2 linked regions of the Lepisosteus oculatus genome follow. The protein of the gene in region 1 purifies or fractionates together with the protein of each later gene. This does not show direct contact. Links are inferred from orthologs where the notes say so. Each region holds a gene or a part of one and is shown on either strand. Other genes may lie near its edges.

The links.
Region 2: the proteins of lamtor4 (region 1) and slc38a9 purify together in Homo sapiens (affinity purification with mass spectrometry; 4 studies listed by BioGRID and IntAct, with this or other methods). This does not show direct contact. The link is inferred for Lepisosteus oculatus from reciprocal best matches to the Homo sapiens genes LAMTOR4 and SLC38A9.

The regions. Positions count from the first base shown.
Region 1 is NC_090702.1:13,157,575-13,169,983, reverse strand, and holds lamtor4 (ragulator complex protein LAMTOR4), read left to right. Parts: upstream 1-7,088; 5' UTR 7,089-7,193; coding exon 7,194-7,196; intron 7,197-8,440; coding exon 8,441-8,521; intron 8,522-9,433; coding exon 9,434-9,551; intron 9,552-9,941; coding exon 9,942-10,039; 3' UTR 10,040-11,208; downstream 11,209-12,409. Other genes in the region: protein tyrosine phosphatase domain-containing protein 1, read right to left, coding at 1-33, 896-1,033, 1,618-1,736, 2,280-2,360, 2,870-3,048. UniProt on the Homo sapiens protein: As part of the Ragulator complex it is involved in amino acid sensing and activation of mTORC1, a signaling complex promoting cell growth in response to growth factors, energy levels, and amino acids.
Region 2 is NC_090698.1:26,533,789-26,547,236, reverse strand, and holds the start of slc38a9 (neutral amino acid transporter 9), read right to left. Parts: upstream 6,558-13,448; 5' UTR 6,471-6,557; intron 2,650-6,470; 5' UTR 2,593-2,649; intron 1,904-2,592; 5' UTR 1,844-1,903; coding exon 1,740-1,843; intron 1-1,739. Other genes in the region: probable ATP-dependent RNA helicase DDX4, read left to right, coding at 10,656-10,679, 12,687-12,726.

The sequences.
Region 1 (12,409 bases):
TGATGTAAATTAAGTAGCAGGCAACGAGGACTCCTGTGGAAAACGTGCATAACATAGAATTCATGAAACTGGGATACCACTCCCCCAATGTACATTAGTTGTGACCTATACACTACACTCATGTGCCCCATGGTCTACTGACCAGTTATGCTCAATCAAGGCAGTCTCCTGCACACTAGAACATAGGTGGCGTCTTTCTAGCTTGAATGTACATCTTCCATCTTGGAAGGAGCACTTGACCAAATACAAGGATTCAGCAGAGCCTGCTAGATCCAGCTACTTCTCCCTTATCATGGAGAATATCCACAACAATCTTAGAGACCTGTTCTCCACCATCAACAGACTGCTTAAGCCAAACTAACCCACTACATTACCTGCCTCATCCCAACTTTGCAACACTTTTTCAGGGTTCTTTAGTTCCAAGATTGACACCTGGCATCACATTCTCTCAACAGCTAACGCTACCTACTACACCTTTCTGGGAGCAAACGTGTGATAGAACACAGCAGAAAAATACAAGCTCTTTGGAGTTTAACCATAAGAACTTGTTCCATAATATTCAGCCCATGTAGCCTGTTTGGAAGCTAGTAGTTAAATTATCCAATGATCAATGATCTCATCCAGCCATTTCTTGAAAGAATCCAGGGTATCAGCCCCAACAAAATGGCAGTGTAGCTTGTTTCATACTCCCACAGACCTTTGGCTAAAGACGTTCCTCCTGTTCTTGTTTTTAAATTAGGTTCTACTTAGTTCCCATTTGTGCCCTATGGTTCCTGATTCACTGTTCATTCTGAAACTATCAATCCATGATCATTTAACGAAACACTCCCTTGAGATTTTCTGTCTGGACTGTTGATTATAAACCATCATTTCTTTTAACAACTGAAAACTTCACCTGTTCTTCCCAGTCCTGCATGGCAATGTACAGCAACCTTGCCCTCCTTCACAGCAAATGCCAGCACTTTCACACCATCCAGTATTCGAATCAGGGAGGATACGCCGAAATCTGGCATACCGAAGTTAAAGAAATAGACTTGGGAGAGAAACAAAAGAAGTGAAACTTTTTCACTAAACGTGCTGCATATCCTCTTGACAGCTTGTCATTTTTGGGCATATCTCTTATTGCCACAGAATTTGTTTAAAACTTGTTTAAAATGCATGTGCCTGCATGCAAAATTGTAACCTGGATTGCATGCAAAAGAACCCAAAACTGAAAACTGGCAATTTAATTACTTATTCTATAGCATAGTTACTGTACCAAAAAGACAGTCAAACTATTTCCTTAATAACAAATACCCCACTATTTTCTATTATAGACTTGTCAGAATAAATATGTTATAATAAATAAAGCTTCATATTCATTGTACTTGTATCTTAAGACATATCCTAATGTATGGAACATTCTGAACACATACAAAAATTCACAGTGAGCATGAAAGAAAAATAAGTATTTCTAAATTAGACATATATTTATTAACCCTGATGGTTTGTAAATTTTGATTAACTTGCTTGACAAAAACATTACAAAAATTGCAGAACATAAATTCAAGGTGTTTTTCTTTTAGATCAACTTGCCTATCCACTTCTTTCAAGCCATCCGAAACTGAATTGACTTACTTCCATTATCCATGAAGACTTGGGGTAAATAAGAGAAGCCACTCTCTCGTTCCAATGGTGATCCACAGTGAGCATGCTCCCCTGCCACCTGCATATTGATGATGGATTTTATGTTCAACCTAATGGGAATAGCAATACCAAAAGAGCAGATTTAATGCCAGAGACTGGAAAAACCATTCAGGGATTTCATAGCTGCTACAATAAAGGTTAAGCACAGTAAATCAACAATTTTAACCTAAATCAACAGCCACTTAAAGATGGCCTTCGTTTTCTTCATTATAAACAACGTATGCTCAGACTCTGGGTTCTCATTGCATCTGTAACAGTTCTCTGCTTTTCCACCCTTGCTGCTCCTGCCCTGCCAGATCATCCCTCACTGCCTAGGCGCGAACCCGGATCCAGCGTCACACAACAGGGAACTTGCCAGCTGAGCTAAAGGAGACCTCCCTCAACCTGGCTGGCTGAGATCCCTGTAATATGCAGGGGTGTATTTGTTACACATCCAAAATTAAATGTGACAGTCTGCTACCTGTGTTATCTGTTTTTTTAAAACTAGTTTGAAGAAAGCTTGATGAGCTAATGTAAAAAAAGAAACTTCGCACAATATTCAGCGACATGCTTAACAAGGCAAATTAAAATTCTTCAATATTATGATAACTTACTTGTGGAATTGATCTATAATGTAATACTTCTTAATTAGAGCCGTAGAAGGTCTTGCCATGGCTAGAATATCATCTGTCACCCTAAAGGCAAACAGAAACCACATTCCATGACTACTATACAACAGAGGTCTTTTTAGATCATTTTGTAATGCTTATTTCAGTGTTCCAAGGTTATACAAATAGTAACATGCAAAATCAATATTTATTTTTCCATCGTAAAAGGATGATAGCTGTACTGAAATAAGTAATGCCAGCTGTTTCTTAAAATAATAGAGAAAAGCACTGTACAGCTGAAATTACTCACTCAGGCATGTGCCTTGAACATCTTGCTGTTCCTCAGAGACTTTAATGAGGAAGCAAATCAATGAAATGTGATTCTCCCCTATTGATTTATATGCATAGTACTCAGCAGGGCACAAGTTTGGCGTCACTAACACAGTTGTCTACATTTACGATGAACTCAACAAAACTGCAAAGCACTGTTTACCATTATAACTACACAAACGTTTCTACAGTGAAAGGCCAGTTAATTATTACAAATCAGGTGGATACTGATCATAAAGAAGGAAAATAAGCATATTGAATTCTACCATGTGGAAAAGACACCCCGTATGGCCTGCTGTCTCAACGTCCAGGTTGCTGGTCCCTCATAACGACAATCTTTTCCTCTGCAGGTCAGAGCGCAGATAAGATTTGGGGGCATGGTTTTGACAAGGTTCTCTCGGGCCTGGGAATAGGAGGGCCGGGGCCCAGGAATACACAGGGCCATTCCTGGTGTGCAGGCGGATGTGAATGGACAGGCTTTGTCTGAACAGCAATTAAGGCGGAGTGCAGCCAACCGAAAAGTTCGTCTGGTAATGAACATATTAAAGAAATGTAGAATTAGGTATATGCCCAGGACAGCAAACAGCAACATTAAGCAGCAGAGTTGTGACAATAAAGTGTATAAATCCTGAAATACATAAAGACCATCTTAGAAAAAAGATTCTAAGCAAAAGTATTACATTAAATTATGTTAAAATATTAATTGATGTCTTTAAAGTCTTGTTTCTAGTGCAGACAAGATCATGAATCTTCACACTAAAGTGAATATTGACAATCTTTATGACTGTTAAAATGATATAAAAATTGCATCACTTACCATTATTGCGTCACATTTTGAAATAATTAAAGCAACATAAAAATCAAATCTGTTCAAATCCCCAATAGGCTCTAGTGTATTAGAGCTAGAAATGTACATAGGGCTGCTTCTCTCACTGCCTTTGTGGTTGCTTATTCTGACCTACATCCACTAATCCCTGTTATTAATTCCATAAACACATTAAGACACAGAGGACCGGGGCTTGTAATATTCTTTGTTATATAACTGGGCTCCAGACCAAACACACCTTTATTCTAAACTGAGCCATGACTGAAAAGTTCAGAAACACTCTAAATTAGACAAATTGTCCTTCGGGATCAACAAAGACTTATCTTATCTTATCTTAAATTGCCAGACAGTGTGCAACAAATATTTTATTTAGGAAATCAGTGCCGAATTATTGACACTCTTGATAAACAGGACCATATTAATTCCTTCCTGTGTTTTTCTTGGTTTTCAGGCTTGACATTCAATAGGATAAATAATTTCATCACCTGTCACCACTCAACTTTCTCTGCTGATGCAACAAAGTCATCAGCATTATAGTCATGAATGATCAATTAATCAAATTTCAGAAATCCATGTTTTATTTTTATTAAAAACATACATGCATAATTAGTGTGATGTTATGCTTGCTGCTTAATATATAATATTTCGCCTTTGTATATGAGGAATCTATGAGCACGTACATAATGATACAATTCCCACTTGCATTCATAACCTGGACTGTTTTAGTACATGACTGATTACATTGATGCACACAGTACAGTGAGGTATGAAGATAACAACAGTACCCATTGTTGAGCACGGAGAGGGTTGTAAATATGGTAGCTCCTGTCAACATCCATCCATTTCCTAATCCCTTCTTTCAGTTCAGGGTCGGAGGGGAGCCAGAGCCTATCCTGGCAATAAAAAGGGCGCGGGCAGGATAGATCTTGGACAGGACACCAGAGCATCACAGGGCCGACAAAAACAGACACAGACACGCACACACTCACTCCAGGACCAAGTTTCCCAGGAATGAATTAACCTACAGGTTCATCTTAGGACTCTTCAAGGAAACCCACACAAACACAGAGAGGTGTTCCCCATGTAGATAGCACCCCAGATATGATATATTTAATCTTTTATTCTTACAGGTAAGGGAAATGAGAACAAATACTTATTTGCAGCGATGTCTTGAGCACTCATTTATACAGCAGTACGTATACTAGAGTAATTTAATGGAAGTATCTTGCTCATGGACACAACAGCAGTGTCTGGACAGGAGATGTCCATGATGTCCATGTCCATGAAGAAAAACATTCTGAATACAAGATATCTGCAAAGTTCAAACACTGAGTGAAAAGGCTTGACCCATTTGGCCGATACACTGAATCACCTACAGTATGCATGCCAAACCGATCAGCATATACAGTACTATAGCTGTCAAGGAATGTTTGATTGGTAAGGCTGAATTCATCTCTGAACATCTACAGTATGTGAGCCTACAGAAAACTTCAGCATAAGGTTCACCAGCCATAGCCTTTAAATGTGTCCCATAGCCCTGAACCCAACATCACAGTGACCCACTTTACAGTATAGGCAACACAGCAACAGAACTGCTTGCCTCTAAACTCTGGAGTGGTGCAGTCTTCTTTCTACCTTACTGCAGTAAAGATGGAAAATGTCTTTAACCTCATATAAAAGACATGACTTTTAAGACATTGTGAGATGCAATAGGATATGATTCAGGTCATTTTGGATTGCGATATGTATTAAAGATAAAATTATTTTACAGTGTTGTATTATTAGTACTAATAAATGTGAGTCTCGAAATGTAATACATTTAATGGTGCATAGACTGTCAATGTGATGACAAAATGTTTTGTGTTCTGATGTGTAGCAGTGAAGATGATGAGATGAAGTGCATTTATATTAAGTGTACACTAAAATATGTATCTGTTATAATGTTATTTAATGTTATGTATAAAGTTGTTTGAAAGACATCATTTCAATACTAAAACATAAAATTCTTAATCTCTACTCATATTTGTACTCAATCCTGCTACTGTACTTTATGAAGTAATTGTACTTGTGCTTCAGTATCAGTTCCAAGTATGGTCCCAGGACGTCTCTGTAATCTACTGCAATCTATGCACTTTACTGCTTTGTGATTTTTTATTAAAGCAATAAAAATAAACAGTACAAATAATGAAAAAAAATGTGCGCTTTGTGTCCACTGGAGGTCAGCAGAGATTTAGTAGTACTGTAAAGCAGCACACATAAAGGTAAATACGTGCTGGTTAATATCACAGATTGTATTAAAAATTAGCTATATGGTTTAAGTGAGAGGCTTTAAATAAAATTCTTAAAATTCTAACTATTGGACTGGATTTCCCAAAAGGAGTTTTATTAAGTGTATGGTTCATTAATAATAATAATAATAATAATAATAATAATAATAATAATAATAATAATGGACACTCAGTGGGGATGAGTAAAGAGTGACGCAAACAATGAACGGATCGGAAAACATAAGCCCAGAGTGGACAGGAGGCGGGAGTGGACACCCAGGTGGTGTGAAATCAAGAGAGGTGAAGAGAGGCGTGAAGTCAAAACCTGCAACTGAATAGAGAGGAATAGAAGGAAACGAGTCTGTAACTGAGAGAAGGAGGAACGTATGATGCTAGATTCAGGATAATTTTGATTTTGGATGTCTTCCTGCAATAGGAGTTCCGAAACCCTTCTTTGAGAACGCAGATGGAGAGACCGTGACGATCACAGCCGTGAGAAGTAAAATGAGAAACTATGTTCTTGGAGATATCTTTGATCTTCACAGCCCTGACATGTTCCCTGAAGCGGTCTCCCAGTCTCCTTCCTGTTTCCCCAATGTAGATAGCTGGGCATTTTCTGCAAGAGATGCAGTAAATAAGGTTGCTGGAGGTACAAGATGTCTTCTGAGTGATCTGGAATTGTCCAGAAGGGCCTTGGGGCGAGAGAGAGTAAGGGAATAGCTGTGAGGAAAAATAAAATAATGAACACTAATTGGAATATTTCATTTCCGTTAGCACAGGGTGTTCTCTCAGATTTTAAAATTGAAAGGCATCAGTGCGCCAGGATAATCTCTCGTTCAGGATACCGCAATCCAGTTTAAGGCTTTCCTTGATATTATTAGCATTAGAGGTTGTGCCAGTAGTATTAACCCACCAACTCATGTTTCTAAATGCTTCGATATTAGTCTCAACTTTTTGGAGTTGAGACCAGTTACATTCAACCAGAACTCTTTCAGAACAAGATGTTTGATTTTTAAGAACTGAAAACAAGACGTTCATCTTTATTGACGTAATTTACTGCATGATCCTGTATCTTCGAATCAGTAAGACCAGCCTGATGGACAGTTATAAGATGCGCAAGTTGTAAAGCCAGTTCTGTTCACACTGTAGCCAAAGTCTGATTGAATACAGACTAAAACTGTGCATTTCTGGAAAAAGTGCATTATAAATTTGGAGAGGTCGGAACAGCGGCACTCTTGAACACGGGTATTTCTATTGCTCATTTTCGTGGAGTTATACGGTTAAGTTTAATGGCCGCATTGAGAGGACTGGCCGTAGAATTGACCAATAAAAAATAAGACCTGCGTCTCAATGCTCAATGTGGATTGACAGCAAAGTTGTCCAATGAACATTACAAATTCAGGAAGTACCGTTTTTCGAGTCAGACGACACGTGACAAGATCATATGATCATTATCACAGCGGAGTCGAGCTGTGAATGTTTTTCTTTTGATTGAACATGGTGAGTATTCCTTTAAAACAAGAAAAGTAATACGGATGAATACTCAAAATAATATAAATATTTTGCGTTTCTGTACTATTTTGTGCTGATAACAAACGAACATGATACCAAATATATAATAAGAAGTAATGAAATATCAGACTTTTATTAAAAATACTGTCCGAAGAAGATAAACATAGTCTTTATTGCAAATGCGATTATATATGACAATTAGTATCCACTCTGGTCTGGTTAAACGAAAGTACGTGCTTTAACTTTGGGGGCTGTTATCTCATGATCATAGGCCTGTTTAGCTGAAGACAGAATGAATTGGTTAAGGATCGTGCACCAGAATTATCAGACCCTTAATCTTTTGTAAAGTATTTTCTTAAGGATAGTATTTTTAAAAAAACGAAATATTCACTTCTGAGATATTTTTGTGTTTATAGATACATTGCGTTAGGGCTACACACTACTTTCCTCCCGAAGGCTTTGTAACCTACTTTGATTCCTACGCCTTTAAAGTAACTACCCTCTTTTTTTCCCCGGTAGTTAATGCCATTGAGTTTTCAGGAGTCCAAGAAGATGGGCGGGACGCCATCACATGCACATAGTTAAAGAACAACATATTTAACCTAGGAAATTATTAAAATCGTAGTTTTTTTGTGTAAGTGCATCTGGTCATAGCAAGTAAGCTTCTTGCCTGTAAAGTAACAGGTGTGATTCGTAAGCTTTACAACAGGATTCAAGTTTCCCAAACCATTATGTCTGCATAGATTTAACTTTAAAATTTAAGAAAATGAAGGAAGTTAAGAAAATTTTCGTAACAACAATGTTAAATATCTTCCCGAACGTGGGTCTTTTTTATTTTGAAAGAGTCACGTGGTAATGCCCTCTCCCTCTGCGGGACATAATGTGACTAAATGTCGTTCGTAGAGTAACGTTTAATCAAAAACGGTTTTATTTTGTAGGTAGTTTTCCCTAACTTGTGGTACACGGTAAAGACGTTTCTAGGAAACCATTTTTGTTTTCGACAGGGAATGAGATTTATGTTGAGCTCCAGATAGATTTAATTGAACTGTCCCCCACAGTGTCCGTGGTATTCTACTAAGAACGTAATGCTTTGTAAAAATGTGAAAAGAAGTTGTTACAAGACTATTTTTGTTATGGCAAGGACAGCCTCCTGTATTAACATTGAAGGGTCAAGTTCTCCTTTTCCCTGTTATCACAATACTGACAGGAAAGATGTCTCTGCTGTGTTTCAGACAACAGCTTTGACTCAAGGGCTGGAGAGAATCCCAGACCAGCTGGGCTACCTGGTCATCAGTGAAGATGGAGTCCTTGCTGTGAGTAAACACCATACTTTTACAATAAAGAAGGTGGCTGGGATTTAGACAGGAAGGACAGGAGGTGCAGGAAGGAGTGAGCTATGGAGACAAAGGAGGGTCTCCTTCATCATAATAATCATTCCAATAGTTTCTGGAGAAGCCCAGAATTGAATTGAGTTTATAACAACAATTCTGGAGGGATGACGACAACTGAGGTCAATCAGACTTACTCTCTTACTCTCTGACATCACTTACTCTCCTGAAACACTGTAAGGGGCGGAGTGGTGGCACTGTAGCTAAGGATCTGAGCTTGTGCCCAGAGGGTTGCTGGTTCAAATTCTGTAGCCGGCAGAGGAATCCTACTCTATTCGGCCCCTGAGCAAGGCCCTTAACCCCAACTGCTCCAGGGGCACTATACAATGGCTGACCCCAAGCTTCTCTCCCTGTCTGTGTGTCTCATGGAGAGCAAGCTGGATTATGCAAATATACAAGAATACACAATTTAATAATGCAAGAAATTGTATATGTATAATAAAGTGATCTTATCTTACCTTAAATACTGTATGTGATCTTGCTTATATCTTTTGCATCCCACCTCCACCTCGTCTCCACCTCTGCAGCTGCCCCTTGGTCACTCCTCGCTCTGTGTGGGGTCCCAGCCTCCTCTTCCTATGGATAAGAGGTCAGCCCTCAGCCAGACCGGTTAAACCAAATTCTGACTGAACACTCCATAATCCTTAATATCTTGGGTGTTGTTACTGCTAGTGCACTGGGACCTAAACATACATCGTTGTGTTGTCTGGTTGAGCTTGGCATTCCTTTTGCCCACTTCCTCCACTAGTGTGGGGCAAAGCTGCCACAGGTTGGTTTGTCTCCTTCAGTAACCTCCTACAAGCACCGTATGGCTAATTAAGACTTTCTCCCCCCTAGTCTGCCGGTGAGATGGAGAACGACGAGCATGCGGCGGGGGTGATCATGCAGATGGTGCAGACAGCCTGCAAGTTTAAGCTGCAGGGCAGCACAGAGCCCCCCTTCAAGCGCATGTCAGGTCAGTTTAGACGTGCTCTACCTCTTAACCGGTGCTGGTAAACACTGAGCATCCATTTCAGCTTGTGTCAGGTTTGGCGTTACACTCACTCGTCTTTTTCATTGAGCTGGGCGGCTTTGCCTCGAATGTTAGAATTTTTTTTCCCTCCCGCAAGTATTTGCCAATTAAAAGGCATTAAGAAACGATCCTGCCTATCATTTCTCCCAGAAAACAGTACAGCAGATTTGATAGTAATGCTAATGGATAGAACAGTACACAGGGTTACCAGAGGTTTAGGAATCCCACACAGTGAAGTTTGTTGATACAAACAGCAGGTGGGGATATGTGTTTAGGAATTGTAGATATGTCTTGTCTTGTTTTTACCTTTTCTCCTCTCCTGTCTTTATCTAGTGGTGTTTGAGGATCATGTCTTCATGGTGACCGTGTCTGGGCAGAAGGTCTTTGTGGTGAAACGGCAGAACAACCAGCGAGAGCCAGTTAACGTCTAGAGGTGTGAGGGTGGACCCGACGCTGCCCAGAGATGCCTTTTCTCCAAGCAGTAGTGGAATGAGGCACACCGGGAGCCAAACAGAACTGGGGGATTTTGTGGCACAGGCATATCCACTCTTGTGAAAGAGGATCGGAGACCTGGAAGGGGGGGGTTTCCACATGCTCCTGTGTCACAGTACAGCAGTCTGTTGAAGCTTTTGATATCACCTTTTGGTCTCGTAATGAATTCAGCAGTGTCAGCAATAAATTGATTTCTGGGCGTGGGCAATAATGTTAGCTTAATAATGCCTGCTGTGAAATGGTTAAAGGAAATATTAGTAAGTCTCATTTGCTCCATCACCTATTTGTGACCTGCACAGAATGTGCTGTGTGTATCTTAACTAATCCCATGCTGTTAAGTAACCGTGCTGCAACCCATTATATAAGCAGTAAAGCTTTATACTTTGTTCCAGTTTGTGCTTTTTTCCCTCAAGAAATATCCTGCATTTTTAATATTATCTGTTCATCCCATAACCATTGGAGACATCTCTTTTTCTCAACAGCTCCCATCCTTGTGGGTTTTTGTGTATCCCTATATTATAAAGGGTGGAAGATTAGCAGTGTATATTTTGACCAGTTGAGTAAATACGTAGGTCAAAACATTCAGGTTTAGTCCTGAATACTCGGATAATGAATCCCAAAGAAAAGTCACAAGTACTGGACCTTACAATTTAAAAAGCTGTACCGCTTTTGCACAGTCAGCTGTTTAACTGTCTGCTTAATTATTGAACTAGGTTTTAAAATTAAGGAGCTAGTTTTACCAAAATTCTGTGAGGATAGTTTGGAAGAGGTTCTGTCTGTTTACCCCAACCAAATGCTGAAGAGACATACAGGACCAATGATATAAATCATGTTCTCATTCTCTTTTTGTGATAAGTCCTCTGTGGGCAGAATCACTTTAGCAGAATTATTTATTATTGTAGTTTAACTTTGTAATTGAGTATATTATTTGTCTGTTAAGGTTTGATCTTCAGCATAACTAAAGAATAAAGACATTGCTCTTTCAGCTTTTGTCTTTGTGTAATATATTCACCAAAATAATAGTGTGTGCAGCCCTTTCACGGATTGTATGTTTTGTTTTGTGTGGAAAGCAAGTGTTGTTCAAATAAAATGAATTCAGATAATGGCACTAGAAGCATTTTGCACAAAGTTATTTACAAACTAAAGTCATCTCCAGTACCAGGGTTTCTTAAACATTGGATTAATAATGACAGCAGAGTGCCAGGGGAAATGGAAAAGCTAATAATAGTTTCGAAACAAGCACACAACAGGCAAGCATGCCAAGAATCAGGCCAAAATGTAATGTCTCAAACATAAATTCCAGTTGTTTGAGCGCCAGAGGGTCTTTTAGCTTTCATACATACTAATTTGATTAGTAATTCAATGAACTAAACCGATGTAATTATCTCACCTCTAAACCAGCCAGTGATTTCAAGAGACCAATATGTGCTGGGCGGTGGCTCTTGGGAACAGAGGTCAAGAACACAATAAAATGGGTCTCAAACCCAGATCTTCTGTTTATTGTTCCAATCTGTATAGTCCACTAAACAACCTAATTTAGAAAAGAATTAAGCATGTATAGGTAAAGATTTTTCTTAAGGTATTTTACAGTTGATTGCACAAGACATTCACTTCATTAAAGGCACAGGTACCTATAAATCATCATAGAGCCTGGTTAAAATTAATAACTTCAGAACTGTATTACATAATTAGACCAATTGAAGACATGGCTGGAACAAAGCAGTATAAAACTAGGAATTGAGTATAAAAACCCTGCTATAAAGCTAAAAGCATTGTTTAAATCCATCCATTTTCTATCAATATCTGTGCATCTGCCCATTATGCCTCCCTGCCTAACGAGCTCAACACATTTTATGCTTGGTTTGAAGCCAGCAACACAGAACCAGTCAACAGAGCTGCACCCTCCGCAGCTGACCAGGTGCTCTCGTTGTCTGCAGATGAGGTGAGGAGATCTCTGCTAAAAGTGAACACATTCAAGGCTGCGGGACCTGACGGCATATCCAGTCACATCCTCACAGCCTGCGCAAATCAACTGGCAGGTGTATTTATTCACAGGCATTTTCAACATGTCTCTGGCCCAAGCTGTCCCCACCTGCTTCAAGACAACCACCATCATCCGAATACCGAAGAAAACCACAGTGACATGCCTTAATGACTACCGCCCGGTGGCACTAACCCCTGTTATCATGAAGTGTGTCGAGAGGGTGGTCATGGGGCACATAAAGGACACCATTCTAGACACACTGGACCTGTACCAGTGTGCCTACCGGCCAACAGATCCACAGATGACGCAATCTCCATTGCCATAC
Region 2 (13,448 bases), on another chromosome or scaffold:
ATGAAAATGGTAAGATTAGTCAGACAGGAATTTCTAGGTTTCCATCAAACAAGTGACCCCTACAACTTCCTATGAGCCTGCAGGGTTATAAAAACAATATGGTTATAATTATTCATCTATAATATTATTTATTATTCCTTACACTTTATAGTGCTTTTCTGGATACTCCACTCAAAGCGCTTTACAGGTAATGGGGACTCCCCTCCACCATCAATGTGCAGCCCCACCTGGATGATGCAATGGCAGCGATAGTACGCCAGAAAGCTTACCACACAGCAGCTATCAGTGGGAGGAGAATAGAGTGATGAAGCCAGTCATCATGAGGATTATATGTATGAGGATTATTAATAGGCCATGATTGGTAAAGGCTAATGGGAAATTTGGCCAGGATGCCAGGGTAACACTCCTACACTTTTTGAGAAATGACCTGGGATTTTTTAATGACCACAGAGAGTCAGGACCTCGGTTTTATGTCAACCGAAGGACTGCAGCTTTTTACAGTATAGTGCCCCCATCACTATACTGGGGCATTAGGACCCACACAGACCACAGGGTGAGCACCCCCTGTTGGCCCTGCCAACACCTCTTCCAGCAGCAACCTTAGTTTTTCCCAGGACGTCTCTCATCCAGGTACTGACCAAGCTCACACTCAATTGAAACCCTGGCATTATGGTGCCAGGAGAACAACCTCTCTCTGAACATCAGTAAGACTAAGGAGATGATTGTGGACTACAAGAAACATCAGGGTGGAGACCACACACCTATTCACATCAATGGGACTGCAGTGGAGAGGGTCAGCAGCTTTAAGTTCCTGGGAGTTAACATCTCAGAGGATTTAACCTGGACCCACCACACCAACATCGTGGTCAAGACAGCACGGCAGCGCCTGTTCTTTCTCCGCAGGCTAAAGAAGTTCGGCATGCCATCACATACCCAGGCCAACTTCTACAGGTGCACTATTGAGAGCATCCTGACTGGTTGCATCACTGCACGGTATGGGAGCTGCTCTGCACGGGATCGCAAAGTATTACGGAGGGTGGTGAAGTCAGCGCAGCTTATCACCAGCTGTGAGCTACCAAGCATCCAGGATATCTACTCAGCTAGATGTCTGAAGAAGACCAGGTCCATTCTCAAGGACCCCAGTCATCCGTCACAAACTGTTTTCCCTCCTACAGTCTGGTACAAAAGCATTCGGTCCAAGTTCAACAGACTACGGAACAGCTTCTACCTCCAGGCAATAAGACTGCTAAATGGCCAACCTGTAGCTCCTTAGCAAGTCACCTGTAATGGCTACATGGACACACAATTCTCACTATATTCAGCATAACTGCACTACATGTATATATTGCATACACCATGGACACATAACAGCTCTACACACATTGAGTTTTATTCAATTTCAAAAATGTAACCTCAATTTTGTGATTTTTGTGAATCTTTGTGATTCTTGTAATTTTTGTGAGCTCGCAGAAAAAGACATTTCATTGACAGCAACTACTGCTGCACGCCGTATTGTTGTGCATTTGATAAATAAACTTTGATTTGATTTGCTTAGCTTCAGTCGCCAGTTGTGAGTTGCAGAGTGATATGGCTGCCGGCGATAAATGATAATGATGTAAGTCAGGGAATCTCCTTTCCTCCAAAGTGGCGATTCTAATCTGTATGGGTAAGCAGCTAAAAAGTATCCGGCAATTATATATATATATTCGGTATATCTTCATATTCCACATTTACAGTACCTTTTAGACCTTGTGTCATGTGCATCCAAGTTGTTGTGATCTGCCTCCACGTGGTTCTCTCCAGCCCTCTCTGGGGCAAGCAGTGGCTTCACATCATCTTCCATTACTGTCGACGCTTAAAGAGCAGCACTGTTGCTACGCGTCATTACCTAGACAAAACAAAACTACAAAGAGTCACACTGTTGATCAGACCATAATCAACAGATGAACAGGAAAAGGCTACCATATACAGCTATATAGGAGCAATAAGAGTCTTTGCACTTAGTTGAGTACTTTGCATATTAACTCAAGGTTTTGACTCCAGACTTGATAAATATTATCTGTAAGTGTCAATCAAATATTATCTATACATTTTGTTTAATTCGTAATCCAAGCATCTATGATAACATATGAAATGAAGATTAAGGGGAGACTTGGTATTCCCATCATACAAACTTCCTACAGTAACAGTTTATGGAGAGAAGGAATTAGTAAGCCATTTACAAGAACAATCCAGGAATCTTTGACTCAGATCTCATAAAACACAATTTAAACAAGTCAGCTGAAATAAACTATTATTGGCACCATTCACTAGCTAGCAAAACTAAAAGGTCAACTAATTTTTTTAGTAACCAAGACATTCAAAAGCTGCTTATAGAAATGAATACAGAAACTGTTAAGTGCAAAAAAAACATTAAAAACAGAGAATTAAAAATAGTGGCAACTGTAATTGTAAGAGCTCAGAATGCAATGTCGTACACATTTAACAGAGCATTGAATGAATTAAAAGCCTGGTTTTCAGGCATCCAAAACTAGGAAAATAATATTTTGTGTAAGTTCGTGCAATAGGGTGCAAAATTGATTATATACATACCAGAAAGGTTCCGTACTTGAATTTGTCTGCTGGACAAGAAGGTACCACCGACCTCTCCTTTGGGGACGGAGAGGATAAAATTAACTCCATAAAGTGTTGCATTAGAAACTGCATAAGTAGATTAAAATGCTTGAAACCAGAAAAGGCTGGTCTTTCCACGAAAACTTGCAAATTAAATTTCTCGCAAAGATCTCCATAACTCTGAAATTACACACCCTTACAAAGGGTATATTTATTTAGCCTAATATATTTTTCTTATATGTCGACTTTCATTGCACCTCAGGATCAGAGCATAACCTTAGACTTTCAAGACCAGCAAAATCGAAGAATGAGATCAGGTGGGTCTTACGATATGGTCTAATTTGCAATGTTTAGAGACACAAACCAGCAGCACATTTCCTGTGTAATCTAAAATGTGCAGTATGATGCCCACAAAAGGAGAAGTAGAAATGATGTAGACAATGACAGGACTGAAAGAACACAGGCTACAAAAAATAAGCTGATCGTGCATTATCTTCAGTCTCACAACAGCTGAATCTTACATTTGAGGAAGCCAAGCCCCAAATAAGATTGTAGAGCAGAGGTCAGCAGTCTCGGTCCTGGAGATCCCCAGTCTAGACTTTACAAATCATGAACACCTGTAAGTTATTGATCAGGGCCAGCTCTTATATATAGTTGAACTAGATGGTCACCTACACCCCCATGTTAAATGGTGCGCCCCATTTGAGGAGACAATTAATTAAAAAAAAATCTATTTAAAAATGTCAAAAATTGCAAACAATATGCACTGCTACCCATGTTGTTGCAAAAGAGTAGGGACATTGTCTTTCAGGTTTCTAAATGTGAGTATGTTTAAGCATTAAACCTTAGCTACATTAGGGTGTATAATAAACTTTTCTACTTGTCCTACATGTAAGAAATAAGGGGCAAAATATGCTTGTGTCATTTAACTGTCAGTACATATTTGTTAATATTGTTATGGCTTAAGAGGTTGTAAAATTAAAAAACAATAGGAAGAAACGGAGTTGTTTACCTAGCTGTGGGTGGGCTGTAAAAGACAGAGGATCAAAATAAATCTACTCTGGTTAATTAAAATTGAAGAATACACATTTAACACACAGACAGACATCATAAGAAGGCAGGAAAGAAAGGTCAGGGAACAGTGATGAAGAGAGAGACAGGGAATTAACAGAAGGAAACAGAAGCACTAGGTGAGTGGAATTTGGTCTTGGGTCTTGTGAAGGGTTTTTAGAACAGGTAGATTGAGTCTCTTTGACTTTTGGACTTCCAGGATTATAGGAAAAACTGAGTTGAACTGAGTTGGTTTCTGTGAATATAGAACACCAGGCCTGATTTTTGGCCTGATTGGGCATTATACACTGTCTGATTTCAGGTTACAGGGATTCTGGGTTTCTGGGTCTGTAGAGCTTATGCTTGTTTTGGAAACTTTTATATTGGATGTAAGGCAATTTGTTGTTTAGCTATTGTTATAATAAATAACTTCAACTGAAGCCTGTCCGCTATGAACTAGAAAACTTGTCCGATGCCCTAATTGAAATTTCTGATGATACCATCTGTACTTGAACTATGCGGCAACATTGCCCGTTCAAATGCAAAAGTTCTTGTAATGGCCTTCCGATTTGTTTTTTACGACTAATTTTCATGGGTCTATACATTATTTTAAAACTAACCGGTTTAAGTAACTAGAAGGGAGTCTCTCACTGGAAAATGGAAGTTTGCAAAACCTATGGTTAAAACAAAATATTTTATTTTGTAAATACACACTTTTCATATTTAGATTTGGTGATAATAGCCATTAAAGCGCACAGATGATTTTAGATTGGTAAATAAAAAACTCTTTATTCGAATTAGGACTAAAACATGATCCACCTGTTGTGTACAAATCTCCTGCAAACAGCAGGTCTTCAGGGAGGTTTCAATCAGTGTGTTTGTACATGAACAAGCCAAGAAATACAGGAAGCGGCATAATGGGAAGGTGAATTAGATGCCTCTGCTCCAAGTTCAATTTTCAAAAATGAGGAACTCAGCATCTCTTCATTGAAATAAGGCAGGATTTTACATGATTATCTCTTCTAAAATATCATTACATAAAAATGATATTTAAAAATAAAAATTCTGAAATATCATTACATGTCACCAATGGCCACTTATAGTATTCAGTATTGACTCAGCTGTTTTAGTTATTCATTAAATATTTATAAATGAATCCACTACTACAAACCTTCTGTAGAACAACCTAGCTTATTAGAAAGGAGATTCCATTTCTTCCTAAGAAAAGTGATTAAATGTATGCAACTTCTGTACCACAAGGCACAGATAAGCATTTCAAATTCTCATTTTTGGTGTTGACCTGTTTTTTCACATAACAGATGTCATGATACATACATATATTTACACATTTAAATCCAAAGAGACCAGGGTAATTTTAAAAGTCGCATATTAGAATATATTTAACCCTAAGAGAACAGGTTGTGTTTGACATGCCAATGTACCCAAATCGAAATCCCTAGTGCTGATACAACAAATCCTATTCTATTTGAAATTCTATTCTAGTATGAAATAAATTCTCTTCAGCCTATGAGAGGCATTTTTTTCATTTTCTCTGTAGGATGTTTTTTTTGTGGGAGCTGACATGCCTTACATAACTGCGGGTTTTACTGCTATTTTTAATCCATTCAATTTGACAAGTATGCAGATATTTTCATTTTCTGTTACACAGGGAACTGTGGAAAGTCAACAATTGATAAAGGAAGCTACAAGGCAGCTTTCAGTCTTTCAGTAGTTAAAACGCCAACTAGCTGTAATCAATACATATAGCACAGGGTTCTAGAGAGGGATCACAGGGCCATGGTTAGGAGTTACACAGAACACAAACAACTAGAGAATTATACGTACTGGCTAAGTATACCGTCGTGATAATAACTGTAACGGAGGCACCTCTTCATAAAACCTCGAAATAAATATCTGTGCACTTTCCTGCAATAGAATAGACTGTAAGGAATTACGGCAGCTCTCATCGTTGACTATTCACACTACCCTGATGTGGAATAATTGATGGGGAAAAAAACAAGTAATTCCCGTCTGAGCTGCCGGATTTGTTTTGACCGCAACCTTGATAAAAACATTAATATCGTGTAGTTAAAACAATTTGTTCAGTTTGTAAGGGCAGCAACAGCTGCTCGTCCTTTCCAAGAAACGACAAGGGTGCCAGAATTCACAGGGGCTTTTTAAAAATTCCAGAACGGGAGAGATGTTCAGAGTCTTATTCTTGGCTTTGCTTTGCAATTGCTCTGCTTCGAAAATTACGTATAAATATCCATTTCAGAATGCCGCGTATCCTAAGTTATCATATACCGAGCCACAAATACAAGAATACTACCTAATACAAGAGTAAAAAGAAGCATAACCCCTCACATTTCAACGTTTGATGCTTTCTATACAGAGCGATATATATATATATCGGGATTACAAATCGGACATCCTTAAATTGAACTGTATGCAGCACATAAAATGAAATTCATGGAATACACATTTCACAATATAGGTAAACCACATCCATTTCACACATTTTATCTGAAAACGTTAGCTTTAACTAGCTCGTACGTTTATCGAGGTGCTATAAAGTAAAATACGTCTACACCTTTTCCTAAATTGTACTCAACTGACTCGTTTTAAAAACAATATAACTATTATGACCAGTACCGTAAAGTTAACCGAGAAATCAATTACTGGGTGAACAACTAATTTAAACTGTTAATACCAATATAATCCTTATGATTGCAAACTAGAAACCATAAAACAGCCCTGCTCTTTTATAAGAGCTATTAATCAACTTTAAAAAACCCGTTTAAACTTACATTAAAAACCAAAGACACCAGACACCAAACACCAACCCCCGGACCTCACGGTTCGAGCAGCGTTTTAAAAACAGGAAACAATGCGAACGTGCATTGCACATGCTTAGCTGTCGCAATGCCTTATAGGGTCTGTAGTGTTTTAGAAGGGACAGGTATTGGGCATACTCTCAACTCAACTACACTACCCAGAATGCCTACAGTTCAGTCAGCTGAGTTTGATACCTGGCTGTGTAGACAGTCCAAGAGATGAGAAAGAATTCGTGAGTCTCACCTGACTGAAGAGAAATGTGATTATTTCGTGCACAATAATGTATTCACATCTATGTTTAATTCAGAATATAAATGATTTAGTTTTTACTGTTTTTAAATGAAGAGGGGTATTGTCATTGTCATGTTTGTCATTGTTCGTTTTTATGTTTATATATGTCCTATGTATGTTTGGGACCTGAAAAAGGCAAAACGCTGTCTCTTTTTCTTTTCATTTCAGCATGGAATAAACCTTTACCTGTTCCTATGTTTGTCATGATTCTTAGGCCATAAAGCTTTCCTAAAAGAACACGACCAAATAACAAGAACATATCCTAAACAGGGCACAGCTTGCACTACCCAAACAATACAGAACCTAATAAGAAAATAATTCAAACGGTATAGTATAAAGACAAACATGTACAACATCTGAATGCTTAATAAAAGCAAAATGTACATGAATATTGAAGCTGCCTTGGGCTCATAAGATGGTCGACATGATAGGATCTTATGTAAATGATAACAAGGCAATTGTTGTTTGAGACATTTGCAAGAAGCATTGAGCGCTCAGTAGCACACATAATACACAACAGAATTAAAAGCAAAGTGAAATAAACAAGTAAAAAGGTCAGATTTAGCAGGTAAAGTATAAAGTTATGTGCTAGACTATATTCAAGCAGAAAGTGCTTTAAATAATCAAGAGCTAAAGCACTTAATGCCTTATACGTGAGCAGAAGAAATTTAGGGTACAGTTTAAAATGTACAATGCACTGATAAGCTCTCGTAGAATAGTGTGAGCTGAGAGCTTTGGATCATACTGAATTGTTTATCAATAATAATAATTGCTTACGCTTATATAGCACTTTTTTGGACACTCCACTCAAAAGCACTTTACAGGTTATGGGGACTCCCCGTCACCACCAATGTGCAGCCCCACCAGGATGATACAACAGCAGCCATAGTGCACCAGTACACTCACCACACATCAGCTATCATTAAGGAGGAGATCAGAGTGATGAACCCAATTCATAGACAGGGATTAATAGGAGGCCATGAATGGCAATATGGCTGCACAGACAGTTCACTGATATTGTTGAAGCTGATATATTGACTCCTTTTAGGAAAGAGCTGGCTGAGAGCTTTGGATCAATTAACTACTGAAAGAAAAAGAGCTAGAGGAGTTGGGCATAACAGCCTTATGTTCTAATACAAAGAAGGACAAACATGAAGCCCGTGTGTATGCAGATCTTAACAGAGCACCAGAACATCCAGAACTAGAACCAGTTATTAAACCTTTCCCAATAAGCCAGAAATGAGTTTTCCCTTTTTCTTGCCAATGTGTAGGTCTCTGGAGGATACTCCAAATCATGTTTTCCAAATTCTGGTCTTGGATGCCCACGTACCTGTGAGATTGTGACCTATTATTGACCTAATAGTGAGATTCTATTTAAAAGTGAAAAATCTTAAATTAGTTATGAAACACAAGTTAAAAGGTAACCTCCAAAATGCTTGCTTAGCTTCACAAGTCTTGGTTTCTAAAATACCCTTAATTTCATGTGTCAACTTTTACATGATTACCTTTAAGCAGCGTCTCCCCAACTTGTTTTCAGAGTTTGCTTCTTAACCGCTCTTAATAGGTGTAATAGGTGAACAGACACAGGTGGGACTGACAAAGTATCACACATTCCCACCCTGAATGCTTTTTGAACCTCACGAACCTCCGGAGATTCCAGTTGATTACGTTTCAGTTAACACGACGGAATCAGTGCGGTTCTGAGCCTCAGTAAGTGGTATACGGTTGTAACCCATTTCGTACCTCAGTTAACCTTTAAGGGCCTCTTAGCATAAAAATGTATCAAAACGCCCATCAGCTGTAAAAAGGAACAAAGAACCGATGAAGAATCGGGAGCAAGGTGCAGATAGACGCGCTGACTTCAAGAAATTGACTCGTGTGTCGTGACGTCACGGTGCCGAGCGGGGAGAAGGACGCGCGCGATCCTGCCCACGTGTTTCGTTCCAGCTGATAACCGGGCTCGGAGCTGAAACGCGGCTTCTTTCGAGACCGAGTGGAAGCGGGACTGGGGGACATTGGCGCGGAGCTATTTGCTTTGAAGTCAATCTCTTTCGTTAAAATAACGACGTAAATAAAATCAGTAATCCGTAAGTAATGTGCAACCGAGTATGTAGTTCCGTTTTCTTTAAATCGTACCTTTCCGCATGGTGAATGTTTTAGTGTAGTTGTATGTCTTTGTACTTTTTCCGTTTCCCTTCTATGTTGGCGTCAGGTGTAATTCTTGTCATTTTAAAATATTGAATTGCCCTTTCGTCTTTATTACAAGCACTTTGAGGCCGATATATATATATATACGCGCTATGCAAAATGGTGAATGGGTTTTATTTGCAAATGATTAACTGTTCCAACGCTTTGTCGTTTTTTCTTAAATACACAACTTAAATGGTGATTTTAGTATTGCAGTTGAGTTTGCTCGCAAGTCGGGCCTGCTCAGCCTTGGCTTTTTTGGCGCCTCGTTTGGGAGGAAACGTTTTCCCGGGAGTTTCTACGACACCCTTAGGTTAGATGTTATTTGGTGTGTGAAGTATTTTGCGAAGCGATTTCAGACTAATTCTGAATTAAAGGAGCTATAGTTAAATTGTGTAGTTAGGCTTGATGTATTAGATTTGGTTTTCCCCGCCTTTCTAAGGGTTTTGCTGATTGGAAGCAGGTGTGTGTTCTCGTATAACGAGAATATTTGAAGCGACTTAAAAAAAAAACCGACCAACGTATCCCAGTAAGAAGAGATGCACTGAGATGTTGAATGATAATTTAATTTGCCCCAAGCGAGCAGCGGAAAGGAAAATCATCCCGCCTTCCCTCCAATTGATCGAAAGCCTGCTGTACGTTCGCACCTTCGGTGATGGCCATGCTTGTGTTAATTGCTCGTTAAGTAAATTAAAACGATAGAAGACAAAAGGCGCCGCGTCTGGAGCTTAATTTTGACTCGGTGCGAAGACACTTTTGCAGTACTTACTCCTCAAGTAGTAGCCCAGATACAATCAGGAGAGGGTGCTGAGAGAATTGCAGGTGAACAGATGCACCATGAGCACTGTTTCCCGTTGGACTGAGGATGAAACTTTTGAGGATCCCTGATTCAAAACCAATTTCCTGAACTCCTCTGTTTCACCTCGACTCTGCACCGTGATGGCCGTCTTCGTTCCTTTTGCGTTCTTATTTTATCCGTAAAAATAAACGATCTTATATGGCGCCTTTAAAAGTAGCTTCTCGAAACAACGAGAGGGGATATGAATCTGATGTTTTGCTTTGGCAGAGCTGTGTGAGCCGGTTCTCTTGCAATCTTCCAAAAACATGTAATGCGCGATTGTCCTCATTCTCGGCAGTCGGTTTCATTCCTGTCTTTCAATCGGGGCGATCTCGAGGCTCTTTGCATGCATTGTACACAACAAAAATGTGTAGAAGTCGGAAAAAGAAATTCCAAAAAGTGCATCAATTATGAAAGTAAAAGAATTGTTAGGTGTCGAAGGCCATCGAGAGCAAGTCAGCCTTCAGGCGAGATTTAAAAATATCAGTGTGAGGGTGTGTTTTTGATCTGGTCGGGAATTGTGCCCCAAAGATGGGGAGGGGGTGGGTGGGCTACTGCTGAAAAGGTTCAGTCCCCCCTAACGAATGATGTGAAGGTCTAATAATACTAGTATTTATGGATTTTATTTATTTGGTTTATGAAGCACCTTTCCAAAACTCAAGGTTGCTGTACATGGTGATAGAACGAAGAGGAGGAGCTTAAAAGCCAGCCAAAGAGCTCGTACATGTGTAATACACGAGTGTTTGATTTTCCTGAATGTGAATGATTGCTTTAAGTGGATGTTATCTATTGCAATGTAAAGGTGTTTTGATTTCTTTTCTAGCACTTACCCTGAGAAAACATGGAAGACTGGGAGGACAACGTGGTAAGTGATCTTAATGACAGAATCAGAATCGTATGTTGCATAGACAAGAAATTCAGATCTGGTGACTTGGTGCGAAAACATAAAATAAAAACAATATACGCAGAGGTCCACAGGTGTGTGTGTGTATATATATATAAGGTGGGTAGCTGCGTCAGCATGCGTAGGCTGCAAAGGAACAAGTAATAGGTTTATTCCATGCTGAAAAAAAGAAGAAAGAGAACACAACGTTTCGGCCGTGGAGCCTTCTTCAGGTGTGTAGGGCTTCACACCTGAAGAAGGCTCCACGGCCGAAACGTTGTGTTCTCTTTCTTCTTTTTTTCAGCATGGAATAAACCTATTACTTGTTCCTATATATATATATAATATGTGCACAGGTAGTGTCTGCCTGAGGTACGTTTTTTTAAACGGATGGTGTCCTGGATGAGAGGAGTCAAACTCCACTCTTTTGAGTCTGTTGACCTGGAGGTTGTTGACACAGACATTCACTTCCCTTTTGTTCACGTTTTAGTCTCCTTTACTGATAAGAGCCACCGGGGAGTGTCACCTGCAGACTTGAGTCTGATGGAGGTACAGTCGTTGGTATACAGGGAGTCAAGTAATGAGGAGAGCAGCAGTGCACCTCAAGGCTCACAGATGAGCAGTCTGATAAATAAGAGCCTATCCACACATTACCTTTTTATTTGTGAAGGAGGTGATCCACTGGCAGGTGGGGAGGGAAACATTCAACATTCAGGTGGGACAGTTTATTGTGGAGGAGTGCTGGGATGAGGGTGTTGAATGCACAGCTCAGATCAACAAAAAGGAGTAGCGTACTCCTGAAGTTTCCAGATGTTGCAGGATATAGTGGAAGCGAATATTAACAGCATCACGCACTGACTTAGTGTCTCTGTAGACAAGTTGTGGGTCAAGATATGAAGCTGGTTGTTTTGATTGTATCGGAGTATCAAGAGCTCAAAAGGTTTTCATTATGACCGATGGAAGTGAAACTGATCTGTAGTCATTAAAACAGGTTATTCTGTCCTTCTTCTGAACTGCGGTGATGATAGAGGATTTGAAGCAGGCAGGGAACCTGCACTGGTCCGAGGACACACAGCAGGAAAAGCCGAGCAGCACAGTGCTTCAAAGTAGCTGAGAAACCAAATCGGCACCAGCAGTTCCTGCATTTACGTGTGCAAGGAGCTTAAGGCTTCATGTTCTTCAAAAATCAGGGGAAAGACATAAATTGAAGATAGTTCCTGGATGTTTCGGGGAGAGGGATTAGGAGAGTGAAGGAGTCGGGTGTTAGAGATTAAAGGAGATAACTGGTTGCATGACCCATTGTTGGAAAGTTTTACTTATCAAATCTGCTGTAAAATGTGGTTCAGATTGTAAGGTAGAGACTACATTGTATATTGATTTACATGTAGTTAAAATTTTAAATGCTTTCAAGAGTGCAAAAACATACTTTTTCTCTTTTAAACAGTTTTCTAGTACCATTGTGCTTTAAACTAATATTTTTGCTGCAGTTTTGGGTTTTGAGTATGAACCTTCAAATGCCGTTCTTTCATAACTTTAACCTTTCAGGTGGAAATCTTGGAATAATTAAGGCAAACCCCATGTATAATCTAGGCTGAGGATCAGCCTTGGTTTTTTGGAATTTATTTTGGGGTGCACAATACATTGGGGTGTATAATAAGTTTTCCATTTTCAAAACTTTAACTTGGCTTCGGCAGAAGACCCATTAGATATAAAGGCCTCCTTATATCAAGGGCTAAAAAAGATTCAATCACTGAAATTAAATTGAGTGATTTGAAGCAGCTTTAGGTTTGATTTAAAAATTTAATTTGACAGTTGTCATTTAAATGCAAGAACTTTCCATCTTAAAAACCAGGGACAGCTACCTAAAGGTATCAGAAAGTTGACTTAATTCAATTTAAGGTGTTAAGTGTTTTGTCCAGCTGTAAACTGTAATAAATAATAGTAATGAATAGTATGAAAGGTTGCTTATGATCTGCTGTCTCTTTGCAGGACCCCATGCCCCAGAGTGCTTACAATGCATTGACAAATGGTAGGTAACTGCAGACAATCAATGAAGGAAATTGTACAGGAAAGTGACTGGTGTTCCTGCTGTTAAACAACTACCAAAAAGTATAAATTAGTAACTTGGGAGATTTGCAGCAATAAAAGCCTGAAATTCACAACCCACTGAAGCTCAGCAGGTGTGAGCCTGGTCAATACCTGGATGGGAAACCTCCTGGGAAAACTAAGGTTACTGCTAGAAGAGGTGTTAGTGGGGCCAGTAGGGGGCACTCACCCTGCTTGTGTGGGTCCTAATGCCCCAGTATAGTGATGGGGCATTAGGCACTATACTGTGAAAAGGCGCTGGATGAGATGTAAAACTGAGGTCCTGACTCTCTGTGGTCATTAAAAATCCCGGGGAGTAGGGGTGTAACCCTGGCATCCTGGCCAAGTTTCCCTCTGGCCTTGACCAGTCATGGTCTCCTAATAATAATTCCTGTCTCTGAATTGGTTTAGTCACCCTGTTCGTCTCCACACTAATAGCTGATGTGTGGTGACCGTTCTGGTGCATTATGGCTGCCATCGCATCATCCAGGTGGATTACCCGTAAAGCGCTTTGAGTGGAGTGTCCAGAAAAGAGCGTATATACGTGTAAGGAATGATTTAGACTAATTTGAGTTTGAGATCGTGAATGGATTTCACTGAAGTGGAAAACAAAGTACATGTGAGACGTTCAAAATTTGTCCCTTTGCAGGTTTGACGTCTGCATCT